Diceros bicornis minor: one gene and its partner. The protein of the gene in region 1 interacts with the protein of each later gene in a pairwise test. Links are inferred from orthologs where the notes say so. Each region holds a gene or a part of one and is shown on either strand. Other genes may lie near its edges.

Region 1 (7,838 bases):
CGATATACAGGGGCCATCATTTTTATAACAGGTGGACGTGTCACTCAAGATTGGCCAAATTAGAGTAAACCAGAGTAATCTGCTGGGATTGGACCTACAATGAGCAGCTGATCCAAGCTGGCTCCATAGAATTTTCTAGTTGGAGACTGCAGCTAAGAGTTCTCTTCCCTCTGATTTTTTTTTTTTTTTTTTGCTTAATCAACAAATTTATTGTCTTTCGAAGTTCCATAGGCTAGAAATCCAAAACCAAAGTGTCGGCAGCGGCATGCTCCTTCTGAAGGCTCTAGGGAAGGATCTGTTCCAGGCTTCTGGTATTCCCTTGACTAGTGGAAGCATAACTCCATTCGTCATGTGGTGTCCTCCCTGTGTACATGTCTGTGTCCAAATTGCCCCCTTTCCTGAAGGATAACAGATGTGTGCAGCCAGATAGCCCTATCGGCCCGTTTCCTGCCTGTAGCATCCTAGAAATCTGACAGCCTTCCTTCATTTCGTCCCCTGTCTGTCCCCTTCAGTTCAAGCTGGCAGCATTTCTGCTGAGATGATTTATAGGATCCACATGTCACATGCCTAATCTCTTAGCAAACAGGTTGTCCAGCCACACCCTTGGCGTTCTTTCCAGAGCATTCTCTCTCATTTTTTGCAATCTGGATAGGCTGAGAATTTTCCAAATCTTCAAGTTCTGGTTTCCTTTTGGTGAACGATATTTTCTTTGATTTATCTTTGTCCTCCTTCGTTTTAAGTGCTTAAGGCTAGAAGTCCATGATCTGGGTGTCAGCAGGGCCATACTCCCTCTGAAGGTGCCAGGGAAGGATCTGTTCTGGGCCTTTCTCCTGGCTTCCGGTAGTTCCCTGGCTTGTGGCAGCAAAGCTCCAATTGTCACAGGGTGTTCCTCCTGGGTGTGTCTTCTCTCGGGTTTTGAGGGCAAGACAGAGCTCATCAAGTCCTCTCTCAGGCCAACCCAAACTGATCCTCTCAACAGTTTAGTTACTACATCTCATTCCTCCTTTTGTTGTTAAAATTGTCTTTCATCACACGTGTGGGGGAAGGAGAACTATTCCTCTACCCTCTAGGTCCTTCTGGCTCATCTAAGAATTAAACTGATGTGAGACAGAATAACAGGAGAAAACCAAACAAAGTTTAATAACATGAATACGTGGCAGAAACCCAGGAAAACTGAGTAACTTGCCAAAATGAGGGAACCACTACCTTAAATACCATTTTCAGCTAAGGACAAAGGAGGATGTTGGGGGTAGTGGTTTGGGACCTCAAAGGGGAAGAAGGCAATTTACATGGAGATGGAAAGGCAAATGTTTGGTAAACAAATGTTTGCTGGGCCATCTATAGACAATGAGACCCAAGGGAGAGAACTTTGATAAAAATGGGCTTAGCAAGGACCCTCCCAGTCTACCATACCCAGAGTTATCTGTGGTCGTGGCCTGTCCTGGGACAGGCCTTCCTTTTTTAGGCAGTTAGGGGAAAGTCATAGTTTCGTTTTGAGTCTTTTTTTATTAAAAAATAATCAAGCCAGCGGGTAGAGTTTGAGTTTGAGCGCTCTGCTTTGGTGGCCTGGGTTTTGCAGGTTTGGATCCCTGGGGGCAGACCTACGCGGCTTGTCAAGCCATGCTGTGGCAGCGTCCCATATAAAGTAGAGGAGGATGGGCACAGATGTTAGCCCAGGGCCAATCTTCCTCAGCAAAAACAAAAAAACAAAAAAAGAGGAGGATTGGCAACAGATGTTAGCTCAGGGCTAATCTTCCTCAAAAAAAAAAAATAATCAAGCCAAAGAGACACATTTTGGCATCGCAAATTCTGATCCCCAACACAAGCAACCCAGGGTCCTGACTACTAGTGTGAAGAAGCTTCATATATCTAGGGGAGTGTGGGTGTTTGTTAGGCTGGGGCTTTGGGTTCAAATAGGGTGGCTGATGGGGTTGAGGCCTGAGAGGTGGGTAGGGAATAGGCCACACAGGACCTCAAACACCGTAGTCCTGAGGGTGCTTGATGGCCGTAAGAGGATGAGAGCAGCATAATTCTGGGTGCAGAAAGATTCCTCTGAGGTCCAGTGGAGAACTTTCTAGAGAGGGCAAGACTGGAGACAGAGAGGTTCAGGGAAGAGATAACGTGGAGGCCCAAGGTTGGGGTCTCGAGGTGTTTCTCATCTCCCCAGGCTCCCGTGCCCCGGCCGCGGATGAGTGCTCAGGAGCAGTTGGAGAGGATACGCAGAAACCAGGAGTGTGGACGGCCGCTCCCTCGCCCGGCTTCCCCTCGGCTCCTCACCCTGAGGAGGACACTGTCCCCAGCCAGACGCCAGCCTGACACGGAACAAAGGGTGAGGGGAACTAGGGGTGCGAGGTGGGGCGATGGGGTGGTAGCGGGTCTTCTGCTCCTAGTTAGAGCCTCAGTTTCCCTCTCTGTAAAATGGGGATGTTCCCTACTTCCTTACCCAGAACTGGGTTTCCAGATTTGCCCCAACTTTTACTTGAGCTGAAATCAGCACTCTGGCTCCCCTAGCCGTGGGGAATGGAAGTGGGGTGTGGTAGGGGGTGGGGCAGAGACAACATCTCCACCTCATCAGCATTCTCCCTTCAGCGTGGAGGTCATAGGTCTGGACTGGAAGCCCAGTGTTATCAAAGGCAAAAATAATTTTTTTTGAGCAAGTAAGGAAATCGATTTTATTCATGCTATTGCAGTGGGGGAGAGCACCCCAGATCTTAAGATCAGAGTGTCTTGGTGGGATGGTTTCATCTTAGACTTTTCTAGGAAGGAATTAGACAAATCATAGGTGGGGTGATTCAAGATTGGGATTGTTTTTGTAATCGGGGGGCGTCTCTGTCAGCTGAACACCAACCGTTTATCTCTGTGTCTACCTAGTTTTGGGGAGACAAACAGTTCAGCTAATCATTTGTGAGGTAGAGAATGTGAGTTTGGAGGGCCTGTTTCTGGCCTTGTCATAGGTAAACAAGGGGTGCGGGGTGTCATCTGAGTCTTATCTAAGACATATGGAGAAGAAGGGTTCTTGTAGTAAGCCGTTTCCCAGAACACACAAGCTTGCGTGTGTGTTGGGGAGTGGAGGGGTGGGGCGGGATCTTAACCTGTTTTCCAGGAGCGCATGTAAAGTTACACATTGTCAGTGTCTCCGGGGGCAATTTTATCCCCTCTCTGAGCCCCCTTCATTTCACCCTCAAAATGAGAACGTGGGGACTTCCAAGTGAGGAATTCTAATGCCCCAATTCCTTTGCAGCCTGTCCCAGGACACTCAGGAGCCCCGAAATGGCTCAGAAGCTCCGGGTCCTGGAGCAGGTAGGGAACAGGAGGGCGCGGCCAGGAGCAGGGAAATCCATTTGCCAAAGGGGAAGGGAATAGTAGCACTATTATTAATGTCTCCTGAGTACTGAAGTGCAGGTCGCAGAACCTGTTGGAGACGCTTGAGTTCCTGGGCCATCAGAAAGCCCTAGATCCGCAGTGAGAACTGCAGTTTCCAAAACTGCAAAACTGGGTAGATATCACACTCCGCTCCTCCGTCTGGAAAACCGGTGAAGTCTAAGAGCGACTGGACTACAAATCCCATAATGCACGCGTGCTTTTTATGAGGGCCGCGCCATGTTTAAAGACCTTTAGAGACACGTGCTAGGGACTACAACTCCCAGAAGGACACGCGCAGCACGGAGGTCCTCTCTGTACTGGATAATTGTATACGTCCCCCAAATCTCTTTTTTTCTAGTCCAAGGAACACCACCCCTTATTTGCCAACATCCGAAGGTCACCGGGAGCGAGTCCTCAGCCTCTCTCAAGCCCTGGCTACTGAGGCATCGCAGTGGCACAGAATGATGATAGGTGAGGAGGGGCTGGGGACTTTGGGCTCCTGGGTTTTAGAGAAGAGGGAGCCAGAGGCCTGGAATCCTAGGTCCTGGTGGGGAGGGGTCTGAGGGCGGCTGGGAATCCTTTGTCTTGATGAGGAAAGAGCTAGACGGGGCTTGGAAATTCTAGATCCCAGGCGGGAGGAGATCGGGATCTAGGGCTACTGGGTCTGGAGGAGGGTACTGAGAGGTCGGGACTCCTGGGTCTGAAGGAGGAAAAGTCTGGGGGTCTGGACTCCCGAATCCCAAGGTTTGCCATTCTCATTCCCCAATCGTCCTCTCCAGGGGGAAATTTGGACTCCCGAGGAGACCCTGTTCCCCCTGCGCCGCCGCCTCCGTCAGACCCCACGCCCCAGGTGTCCTCGGCCCCAAGATCTCCTCCACTGGCCAATTCCCGCTCCACCGGGTTCTCCCGCCGAGGTAGTGGGCGCGGCGCAGGCCCCGCCTCCTGGGAGTCCTCGTGGGATCCTGGGGCCGCCCCTCCCGCCCTGACGCAAGATGAGGGGGCGTGGCCTCTGCGAGTTACTCTGCTGCAGTCCAGCTTCTGACACGCCCAAACGCGGCAGCCAATCGGAGCGTGGGGGCGTGGCCTGGATGTACCGCCCCGAGATCTGGAGCCACTCAGGGCACCGGGGGGCGTGATCTAGTCCCCTCCGGTGGCCTGCCGGCGAGTGGTTTCGGTGGCCAGAGTTTGGTTTTCCCAACACTTGTCCAAATTCGGATTAAAACTTTGAACTTTTAGTCAATAGCTTTCTTTGTGTCTGTTGTGGGGTCTCTGAGGGGCGGAGCTGGAGTCTGGACTCCTGGGTCCCGAGGGAGGAAGGGACAGGGACCTCAGACTTGTAGATCTGAGGAAGGAGGGGCTGGAGACCTAGATTCCCGGGTCTGAGGGAGGAGGGGCTGGGGCCAAACTTCCAGGCTTCTGGTCTTTCTGGCAACGCCCCCCAGGGCCGGGCTTCCAGGATCCAGCCTCTATTTATGGTTCGGCCTCCCGGGACTTGGGAGGTGGAAAGAGGGGCAGAGTGAGTGACAGTGGGAGACACGGACTGAGGCAGAATGGCCACGGGAACGCGCTATGCCGGGAAGGTGGTCGTTGTAACCGGGGGCGGGCGCGGCATCGGAGCCGGGATCGTGCGATCGTTCGGTGAGAGGGGTCTGGCTGCTCGAAATATTGGAGTCTGGGAGAGGAGGGACCCCGTGGGCTAATGGATGTGGGAAGAAGGGTCTTCAGTACCGGAGTCAAGATTCTTATCGTATAAAAGCCAATTGTAATGCTAACGAAGGGATTGGCAGGGGTAGCCTAGGGCCTGAGGTCTTGGCGTGTCACCCAAACGCTGTTACTTCCTTTCTGAGTTTCAGTTATAGCTACAAAAGGGGTGAATGGCTCTTGCAGGTTTAGAATTTGCTCTGGATCCCAGGGGTGGGGGCTCGGGAGCCGCAGCAGGCACCTGGAGCAGCCAAGAAGAATATGTGTCAAGGCCTCTGCCCTTTGACCTAGGGGATCATCACGAGACTTTGGGGTCAGAGGGAGCAGGGAGGGAGATAGTCCCCACTCCAGGTGGCCACAAGAGGGCAGCAGAGGCTTCGCCAAGGTCTGTGCTGGGGTAACCTGTTCTGTTCTCAGTGCAAAGCGGGGCCCAAGTGATTATCTGCGACAAAGATGGTAAGTGTTGGTCCCTCACCCCCAGCCCCTCCTCCCCGAGACCCGGGAGTCCGGACCCCTAGCCCCTTCTCCCCCAGCACCGGGAGTCCGGGCCCCTCAGACCCAGGAGTCGGGGAGGCCCCCAACTCCCTCTTCCCCCAGACCCGGGAGTCCGGGCCCCCAGCCCCCTCCTTCCGATCTGGGAGTCCGGACCCCCAGCCCTTCTCTCTCTCTGCAGAGTCTGGGGGCCGGGCCCTGGAGCGGGAGCTTCCTGGAACTGTCTTTCTCCTCTGTGACGTGACTCAGGAGGAAGACATAAGGGTGAGTATTTTTCGGTCCCTACTCCGGATCTCCAGCAGTTTCTCTCTCTCTCTCTCTCTCTCTCTCTCTCTCTCTCTCTCTCTCTCTCTCTCTCTCTCTCTCTCTCTCTCGTTTCTCTTCTAGGCTTTTGCACATGCTGTTCCCTCTACCTTTCCCTCTTCTCCTGGCTAAATTGTACTGGGACCAGCTCAGTATTGTTTCAAGGCTCTCCTTGATTCTGCTGGCCAGGTCCTGTGTCTCCTGGGAAAGTTCTCCTTTATCTCCTACTTCTTCAAGACTCTTGCCACTCTGTCGTGAGGATTAGAACAAAAAAATCTATCACAGCGGGTCTCCTCCTGTAAGAGTTTTCCCTCGCCCATCTCAGGGTTTCTGTCCCTTCCCTTCAATCAGTGTCGATCTAGTATCTAGCCCCCACCTTCCCCGGCTCCCTGTCTCCTCTTCTCCTGCCATGCCTGGTGATTTGTGGGGAGGGTCCCTCACTTCCTCCAGCTCCTGTTCCCTCAACTGTGACTCCAGCGTCCACCTCCACGCCTTGCTTTTGGGCGCCCGGGCTCCCCAAGGCCCGGGGCCAACACTGCTCCCTCACGACCCGTCTTTCTCCTCAGACCCTCATCTCTGAGACCATCCGCCGTTTTGGCCGCTTGGATTGTGTGGTCAACAACGCCGGCTACCGTGAGTTGTGAAGCCTGAGGGCCCTTCCCACTGAGGTCCACACGCCTCCTGGCTTCCCCCGCCTTCCTCCCTTGCCTCAGTTTCCCTGTCTCTGCCCCCTCCCCCTCTGTCCCCTTAGACAGGACAGGACTGCTATGGAATCCTCCATGCCTGGGCTTAAATCCCGGCTCTGTCCGTTCCCTGCTGTGTGCCCCCAGACCTGTGCCCTCACCTCACTGTGCCTCAGTTTCTGCATCTTTAAAATGGGAATGACCATGATCATCATATAGGGTTGTTGTGGATACTGAATAAGGGAAACTACTCAGCATTGTCAACACAAATAATCAATAATCAATCTATAAATCAAGATTGGGGTGAGTTGATTACATGAGCTAATCTGAGGACCATATAGCCTGGGAGGAAACCTTCCCCAAGGAAGGAAGCCCTCCGAAGCATCGGGGTGTACAGTGTAGTTATATACTGACTTGGAACAAGGAACAGACGCCACGTATAACAGGAATATCTCTTTTACTACAGTCACGAGATGTTTTGCTAGCATGGCAGGTCCCTGTGACCTTAGTTTCTGGAAGGAAATACTTATCTTTAAAGAAATGCTGATGTGGGGGGAGGCCTACATCCCTATCTTTAAAGGCAGCGTTCTTTGCTTGGGACGTTGTAAACGTTTAAAACAGATGCACAATGCATGTTCGACAGGGCACACCAGACCATTCTGGAAAAACAAAGTCAGGCCGAATTAGTTTTAAACCAAATGGCTTCCTCATATCCCTCAATATGTATGTACTTTCCGTATTGCTTTTCATTTATTCATCAGCTGCATAATTATCGTACAATCTCGGGCAAACAGCTTCCATCTTGTAGCCTCACTTTGCTTATCTGTGAAGCGAGGCCATGGCCCTTCTCTTTGCCGATGGCTGTGAAGATGTCCTCACGGTGCATGGTTTATAGGGCTTGGTGTGGTGGCTTCCAGGGGAAATTGCCATCAGCTTGATGACGGCCCTTCATAAGAATGTCTCATGGTGGTGAACTGAGGCTCAGAGAGGTGAACTGATTGCATGGAGGTCACACAGCAAGGCCGTGGTAGAAAGAAGCCTGCTTTGTTGGCTGGGCAACTTTGAGCAAGTGGCTCACCCTCTCTGGGCTGCATGTTTTAAAAAATTATTTTATTGGGGTGGCCCCGTGGCTTAGCAGTTAAGTGCGCGCGCTCTGCTACTGGCGGCCCCAGTTCAGATCCCGGGCGCGCACAGACGCACCGCTTCTCCGGCCATGCTGAGGCCACGTCCCACATACAGCAACTAGAAGGATGTGCAACTATGACATACAACTATCTACTGGGGCTTTGGGGGAAA
Region 2 (7,139 bases), on another chromosome or scaffold:
ATTTGTGGAAAGCAGCCTCATTACTTTACAGTTGTTCCTTGTAATAATCACCAGCAGGACCACCCACAAAATGCCATGATGAATCCATATGAGCATTATACCTAAAAATAAAAGAGCATAACATAATACTTGTCCTTTTTGATGATTATCTCAAAATGTTTCTGATGGAGCCCCATTTTCCTTTAATACACTGTCTGGATCGATCACTCAAGAAATTGTCTTGATATTTTCCATATCTATATTTTCTAATGGCACTCGCATTGTACTTTTACAGCGCTGTCATACCTATTATCTCAATTTTTGCTGGGTTTAAACAGTTTATCTATGTCTGGCCATCTAGCTTAATGGCACAATTTAATATTATTATACTTTGAAGCATTATTTTGAATTGAAAGAAAGTTAACATAACTATAACACTGGTCTAAGTTTAAGGGAATTTCAATAAGGACAAAAAAATCACTTTTGTCCTTTTTCTTAAGCAGCACATTTTCATTAGCAGACAAGTTTTATGAGGGCACAGACCATGACATTGTGTCCCCGAAAGTGCCTATACCATGTAGGTGCTCAAAATGCTTAAGTCATGAAACCAACAGTGACAGCAGGTCAACTTCGGACGCAGCTGTGTGAGGCAAAGATCACCAGGGCTGATCTGGCAATCTACTGTGCAGACTGGCCTTTCCCTGCTGGCCGTTTCCATGTTGATATTCTCCAGGCTTCAGCCACAGACCTTCCCTTCACCCTCTACACACTCTACCTGAGCAAAGGCATCCACTCCCATGGACTTAACTCCTATTATATGTGTGGATGACACCAAATTGTTCTTTGACTCGGGCTTCTTTCCTAAGCTACAAATTTTATCCCTTATTGTCTATTAGATATTTCCATTAGTATGTCTGACTATACCTCAACACAAGGCGCAAACTGAAATCATCATCATGCCGAAACCTGCTCTTTCTCAGGTGTTGCCTATGTTAGTAAATAGCCCCACCTAATTGCCTAACAATGAAACCCAGGTAATACCTCATTCCTCTAGTACTCACCTACATTGACTACATCACCACCGATTCCTAGTGATTCTACCACCAAAAATATATCTCCAGTCTATCTGCTTCTTTCTTCCTAAGACTGTACCTGAGGTATCATTGTAACTTACCAGAATTACTCCTAACTGGTGACTGTGCATCCAAACTAGCTCCCCTCCAACCTACTGTGCAGCCAGAATGATCTTTCCAAAATGTGAATCTGTTTAAAAACCTTAAATGACTTCCCCTGGTCCTTAGGAAAATGACCAAACTCTTTGTTATGGCTTACAAGGTCCATTAAGAGCTGGAAACTACCATGTAAATGACACTATAACAGGGCAAAATGGATAAGCACGTGGGGTCTAGAGGAGCCAGACTGATCTGTTACTTACTAGCTGTATCAATAGGCAAGTTACTTGATTTCTCTGAGGCTCAGTATCCTCACTGTAAGATGGAAATATTAATATCTATCTCACAGTGTGGGTGTGCATATTAAACTAGATGAAATACAATGCATGACACAGTATCTGACAGATCTGACACATAGTAAATGTTTAGTAAATATTAGCTACTGTTATCATCTCTCTAGTTAATGTCTCACTTCTCTCCCATTTGTACTCTGAGTTCCATGCATAGGAACATCTTCATTTCCTCTTCTCACACATTTCTTCTTCCTTTATGTATCTAGTCCCTCTGGCTGCAACTTCCCCTCCTACCACTCCACCCCTCCTGCATTCTTCAAGTCTCATCCTAAATGCCACATCCTTTGGAAAGTCCTTCTGTGCACTCCCTGTCTCCTGTTAGATGCTCTTACTATGTGCTCCTGAAAGCTTTGTATTTTCCCTACCATACACTTGTCTGACTTTCTAGTACTTTCTCCTTACAGCCAAATTGTAAATTCTCTGTGAAGAGCAAGTGTCTTGCTCACCACTGTATTCCCAATGCCTAGCACACAGTAGGCACTTAACACAGATTGTTATGTGTATGAATGAGTGTGTCTTTCCTCTCTCACAATTCCCCCCCACCCCCGTGCTCCTCCCCAAACTGCAGTTGGTAGAAAAGCACAACCCTCCCATAACAGCTATCTGTAAAATACGGTTCAGAAAAGGCTGCCACAGAACAAACATGCTCAAATAATACCGGGAAGGGCAGGTTAAAACAAGATTGGGGGGGCAGTAAATGAGGGGGGTGTATATTTCTCAAACTATCTCCTGCAACCAGTGTTCTGCAGAACACATCGCGGCAAAGCTGGTTTAAGGAGATGCCCTCCCCTTCTAGAACTTCCAAGTAAGCCGGTTGCTGTGGACGGGAAATCTCTCAGGCACTTATTTCGCAGGGTTCACTGTTTTTAAGTCAGTACCGACTGGACCCAGAATCTGAGAGCTGGAAGGAACCAGAGACATAAATCAACAAATCTCCGTTTACAGATGCAGACACTGAGGCCAAGAAGGGCAAAGCGACCGGCCCACGGCCACACAGCAACTGAATGCAACAAGCAGAGAGAGAAGAACCCCAGGCGCCCATCTCGTCCCTGCGACTTGCACTACAAACAATGCCTCTGGCCGCTGGGGTCGGTCTTTCTCAGCCACCGGCCCCTGGGCCTACGGTTACCGTCCCCCTCTCCTCCCCATGCCACCCTCCCTCCGCCACGACGCACCGGCCCCGTAAGCCATCCAGCGCAACTGGAGCTTGGCTGGCGCAGGGGAGATCGTTTCTTTCTTTCCTTCCGCGTTTATTTCCGGAGTGTAAACTTTTTCACGTAAACCACACGAACCTGTTAATTTTAACGCCTCCGCTTAAATCCCCATGGGCGCCACTCCCTGGTCCAGCGCGCCCCAACCTACCCTGCCCTCTCCCTTCCTCGCCCAGACCCCGGGGCCTGCCGTTGCTCGTCACCTGGGACTGCCATGGCGCTGTGAAAGGGGTCGCAGGAGCCCTAGGATTTCGAGAGCGCGCTCGCTTCCCGCCGGCCGTGAGGACAACGCACAGCTAGGGCGGCCTCTTCCTCCCACCCGCGCCGCGGCTCCTAGATGACAGTTCGGGGGGGGGCCCCTATAATTCTCTGGCGATAGCGGAACCAAGTAACCACTGATCCAGCTTCCGGGGGACGCATATTGCAGCTCACTCACGGTCCGAACCATTACTGCCAGCTTCGGGAGGTGAATGAGACCTGCACACGCATGTAGTGAAGTAAACAACACCAAGACTTAACGGATCGTTCTTTTTAAAATTGTAATAGAAATTAAATTAATCTACAGCGGCTTAATAATCTTTTCTCCTTTCTTGGAGGCTATCAGAATCCCCCTTCTCAGGGTTAGCGGTGCTCGGGTCCGGGAACAACATGGCGGCGCCCGTGAGGAGCTAGCTTAGGGAAAAGATAGCGTTTGGCGTCGCTGTCTTGCAGGATATTGACAGACTGGAGCTTTCCGCGACCACCCGACTTAAGGAAGCCTGTACTAATAGGTGGACAGCTTTAGTGATCGGCCGTCCGCTCTCATCCCCAATTGAGAGCAGAGTCTTGAGGACTGACCAGCATGAGCAACATCTACATCCAGGAGCCTCCCACCAACGGGAAGGTGAGAGCCTCGTCTGGGATACCTGGGCTCCCCAAAGTGATACCTCACTGACGAAGGGAGTCCTGGGATCTTAGGGTTGTGAGAGATCACAAGAAGTCTTGTTTTTACCCCTGCCTCTGAACAGGATTGCCTGGAAACCATCTATTGGCACTTCTCAGCATATACTTGAAAAAGTCCTCAAGGGAAGATTGATTTCTCCATCTACCAGCCTTCTGGCCCTATTTCTTGCTTTAACCTAACTCATGCAGGTGTTTTCTAGAGTCTTAGGTAAAAACCTAAGTACAAATTAAAATTTGACATTTTTCGCATAACTTAGAGATGGCTCTTTCTCCGTTTATTGAACGCCAGCTAGGCACCGGGCACTTATTAGGTTCTGGGGATACAAATATAGATGGATAAGGTCTAGTTGTTGCCCTAGAAGAGCTTATGGTTTAGTTGGGAGGCAGGCAGGTAAAGAAAAGCCTTAGGATATGTCTGGTAGGTGTGCTTATGGAGAGAGGAGCACATTGCTGTGCTATTACGGAGAAGTGAGCAGCTGGGAAAGTAGGGAAAACTTCATGGAGGAGGTATCTTTTGAGCTGGTCTTAAAACATGAGATGATTGTTAGAGAAAATGGGGAATGGGAAATGTTCCCACATTAGAATGATTTCCTGATTGATTTGACAGTCAAGCTATGTCAATTCCCATCCCAGGTGTTTTATATGCAGTATGAGGCAGAGAACTAAGTAGTGGAAGGAATATCACCTGAATTCTTTTTTTTTTTTTTTTTGTGAGGAAGATCAGCCCTGAGCTAACATCCATGCCAATCCTCTGCTTTTTGCTGAGGAAGACTGGCCCTGAGCTAACATCCGTGCCCATCTTCCTCCACTTTATGTGGGATGCCTTCGCAGCATGGCCTGACAAGCGGCGCGCGCCCGGATCCAAACTCCGGCTGCCAGCAGCAGAGCTCACGCACTTAACTGCTAAGCCATGGGGCCGGCCCTGGCCTTTTCTATCTACTTTCTATGAAATAGCAAACCTCATTCATCTCCTGCATCCCAGCATTCCCTGGCTCCCTAAACCCTTTTAGTTTTTTTCTGCAGTACTTATTATTGATTGTTTATTGTCTCCTCCACCTGCCCCCATAAAATGCAAGTACTGTGAGGGCAGAGACCAGCATCTAGAAGGGTGCTTGATACATAGTAGAAGGAGTTCAGATATGTACTGGATGAATGGATGAATGGATGAATTAATACTATGTTTCTCTTAACTTTTGAGAAGTATTAAACATCAGTGACTTTGGGGTTATACTGCTGCTGGTCAAGGGCAGACTTAGTTGCTTTACTCTGGAGGAAGATTTGAGGTGGTCATAAAGATAAAAAGCTTTAACAAAGATACATGCCTGAACAGGAGATCTTTCATTCAACAAGTATTTATTGAGCGCCTAGCTCATGTGGATCTATGCTAGGTTTTAGGGATACAATGGAAAGAAAAACCAGCATTGTCTCTATTATCATGGAGTCAGTTGAGTGAAGTATACATTGACCGAATAATCATGCAAATAAGTCTGTGCAAACTGTGATCAATACAGTCTTTCTTCTAAACAGAATTGGGCTGAAGGAGAACATAGGCCAAATTTTCCTTCAAGCACAGTTTGGGACTTTTTTCCAGCTGAGGGGTGATTGAAGACATTGAAGCTTCAAAGTTCTGTACTATAGAGAGTATGGCAAGAATTTTGGCCTGGAATGAATTTAATACAGATATAATAAGCTTGCTCAATGAATGTTAGTTTAGTACCTGTGGTGTCTAATGCTACGTTAGGTACTGAAAGGATACAGAGATATTCAGAATAAATGGGACAAAATTCCTCCCTTCAAAGAGTATAGTGTCAACTTGGGAAGTAATTGACGTATTATACCAGTGGTTGACCCCTGGCAATTGTCCATAAATGTGCTGTGTTTTGCTGTAATGCTATAACTCTGGCCTCTGAAGATGAGGCACAGAAATATACCACTTGATAGAAATTTCCTTATCCACTGGAGATGAAATCTCCACATATTATGATCATTTAATCTAAATTATATATTAACATGTGTTTATTCTTAAGAAGCATTTTATTATCAAAGTATTGTCTTATTTGGGAGCTCTAAGAAAAGGAGCCACCGACGCCTGACAAAGTAGTGATGGTGAAAGGAGGGAGCTGTGTGCCTTCTTTTTTAATTCAGTAGCTTCTTGGTGGAAAGATTAAGAAACCCTGGTAAACAAGGTGGCCCAACCATGTATGCATTCTTTTTACTGGATGTAAGTTTGCTGTGGCCAAAAACATTGTATGAGAATAATAATTACAACAATACTAGCTACCATTTTTTGAGCATTTCCTATTTGTCAGGTACTGTTCTAAGTGGTCTACATATATATAATAACTCATTTTGGCCTTGCAACAAACCTATGAGAATATGCTTATGCCTGTTTTTAGATAAGGAAGTTGAGTCACAGAAATGTTAGATATCACACCCAAGGTAACGAAGCTAATCTTACCTTCGTAAGTGGAATGGTCAGTATTTGATTTTGGGCAGCCTGACTCCAGAATCTGAAGAGGGAGGGCTGATGTGCAGTAGATTGTTCTTTAGGACAGTGGTTTCTAAATGAGTGAGTGCACACTTAAGAGGGCTGCAAAACCATCCATGGAGTGCAGGCAGAAAATCTACTTACTTCTGTTTGTATTTATTTTCTCCTTTATTTGTTTAAGTGCAATATTTTATACGTAAAAAGGAACATATAAATTCAGTTACTTCTGTTTGTATTTATTTTCTCCTTTATTTGTTTAAATGCAATATTTTATACGTAAAAAGGAACATATAAATTCAGTTACTCGTTCAATCACTTTTTATATATCATGAAGTATTTTTTCCTAATTCTTTGCTAAGTGGATTTACATTTCTTGGTATCTAGATTAACTAAACCAGCCCTCACAAGTTTCGTATTGAAGATAATAATGTAAATAAAAGCAAACCATAAGAAAATGGTAGAGCTAATGCCTCAGCATGAGAAGTCTGTCAAAAATTAGAAATTGTTATGTAAATCTTTTGAAATATGGATTTCTATTTATTATTGTTAATGGTGAACATTGTCTTAAATGTATATTGTGCTTTAACATATTTATCAGTAAGAATATAAAGCCATTGTGATTTTCAAGACATTTAGAAACTAAGTGTATAGAACAGGAAGATGGACCACTACAATTTGAAAGCAACATTATGCTAAGTGAAAGAAGCCAGCCACAAAAGGCTACACGTTGTATGATTTCATTTTTATGAAATGTTCAGTGGGCAAATCCATAGAGACAGAAAGTAGATTAGTGGTTGCCAGGGAATAAGAGTAGGAGGAAATAGGGAGTGGCTGCCAATAGGTACAGGGTTTCTTTTTGGGATGATGAAATGTTCTGGAATTAGATGGTGGTGGTGGTTACATAACTCTCTGGATTATATTAAAAACCACTTTAAAAGGGTAAATTGTTTGGTATGTGAATTATATCTCAATAAAGCTGTTATAAAAAAAGTTC

Evidence for each region. The genes of interacting proteins can lie anywhere in the genome.
Region 2: the proteins of HSD17B14 (region 1) and SREK1IP1 interact in binary tests that used the Homo sapiens proteins (3 or more experiments, as listed by UniProt). The two-hybrid records come from large-scale screens. The link is inferred for Diceros bicornis minor from reciprocal best matches to the Homo sapiens genes HSD17B14 and SREK1IP1.

Annotation. Positions count from the first base shown.
Region 1 is NC_080773.1:24,435,790-24,443,627, reverse strand, and holds the start of HSD17B14 (17-beta-hydroxysteroid dehydrogenase 14), read left to right. Parts: upstream 1-4,828; 5' UTR 4,829-4,913; coding exon 4,914-5,001; intron 5,002-5,481; coding exon 5,482-5,520; intron 5,521-5,737; coding exon 5,738-5,820; intron 5,821-6,425; coding exon 6,426-6,492; intron 6,493-7,838. Other genes in the region: PLEKHA4 (pleckstrin homology domain-containing family A member 4), read left to right, coding at 2,168-2,329, 3,242-3,300, 3,722-3,834, 4,143-4,405. UniProt on the Homo sapiens protein: Catalyzes the NAD(+)-dependent oxidation of L-fucose, yielding L-fucono-1,5-lactone, which rapidly converts spontaneously to L-fucone-1,4-lactone. Can also act on D-arabinose and L-galactose, with lower catalytic efficiency. Does not use NADPH.
Region 2 is NC_080759.1:12,124,671-12,131,809, reverse strand, and holds the start of SREK1IP1 (protein SREK1IP1), read right to left. Parts: upstream 3,079-7,139; 5' UTR 2,932-3,078; coding exon 2,919-2,931; intron 1-2,918. Other genes in the region: spliceosome-associated protein CWC27 homolog, read left to right, coding at 3,557-3,598. UniProt on the Homo sapiens protein: Possible splicing regulator involved in the control of cellular survival.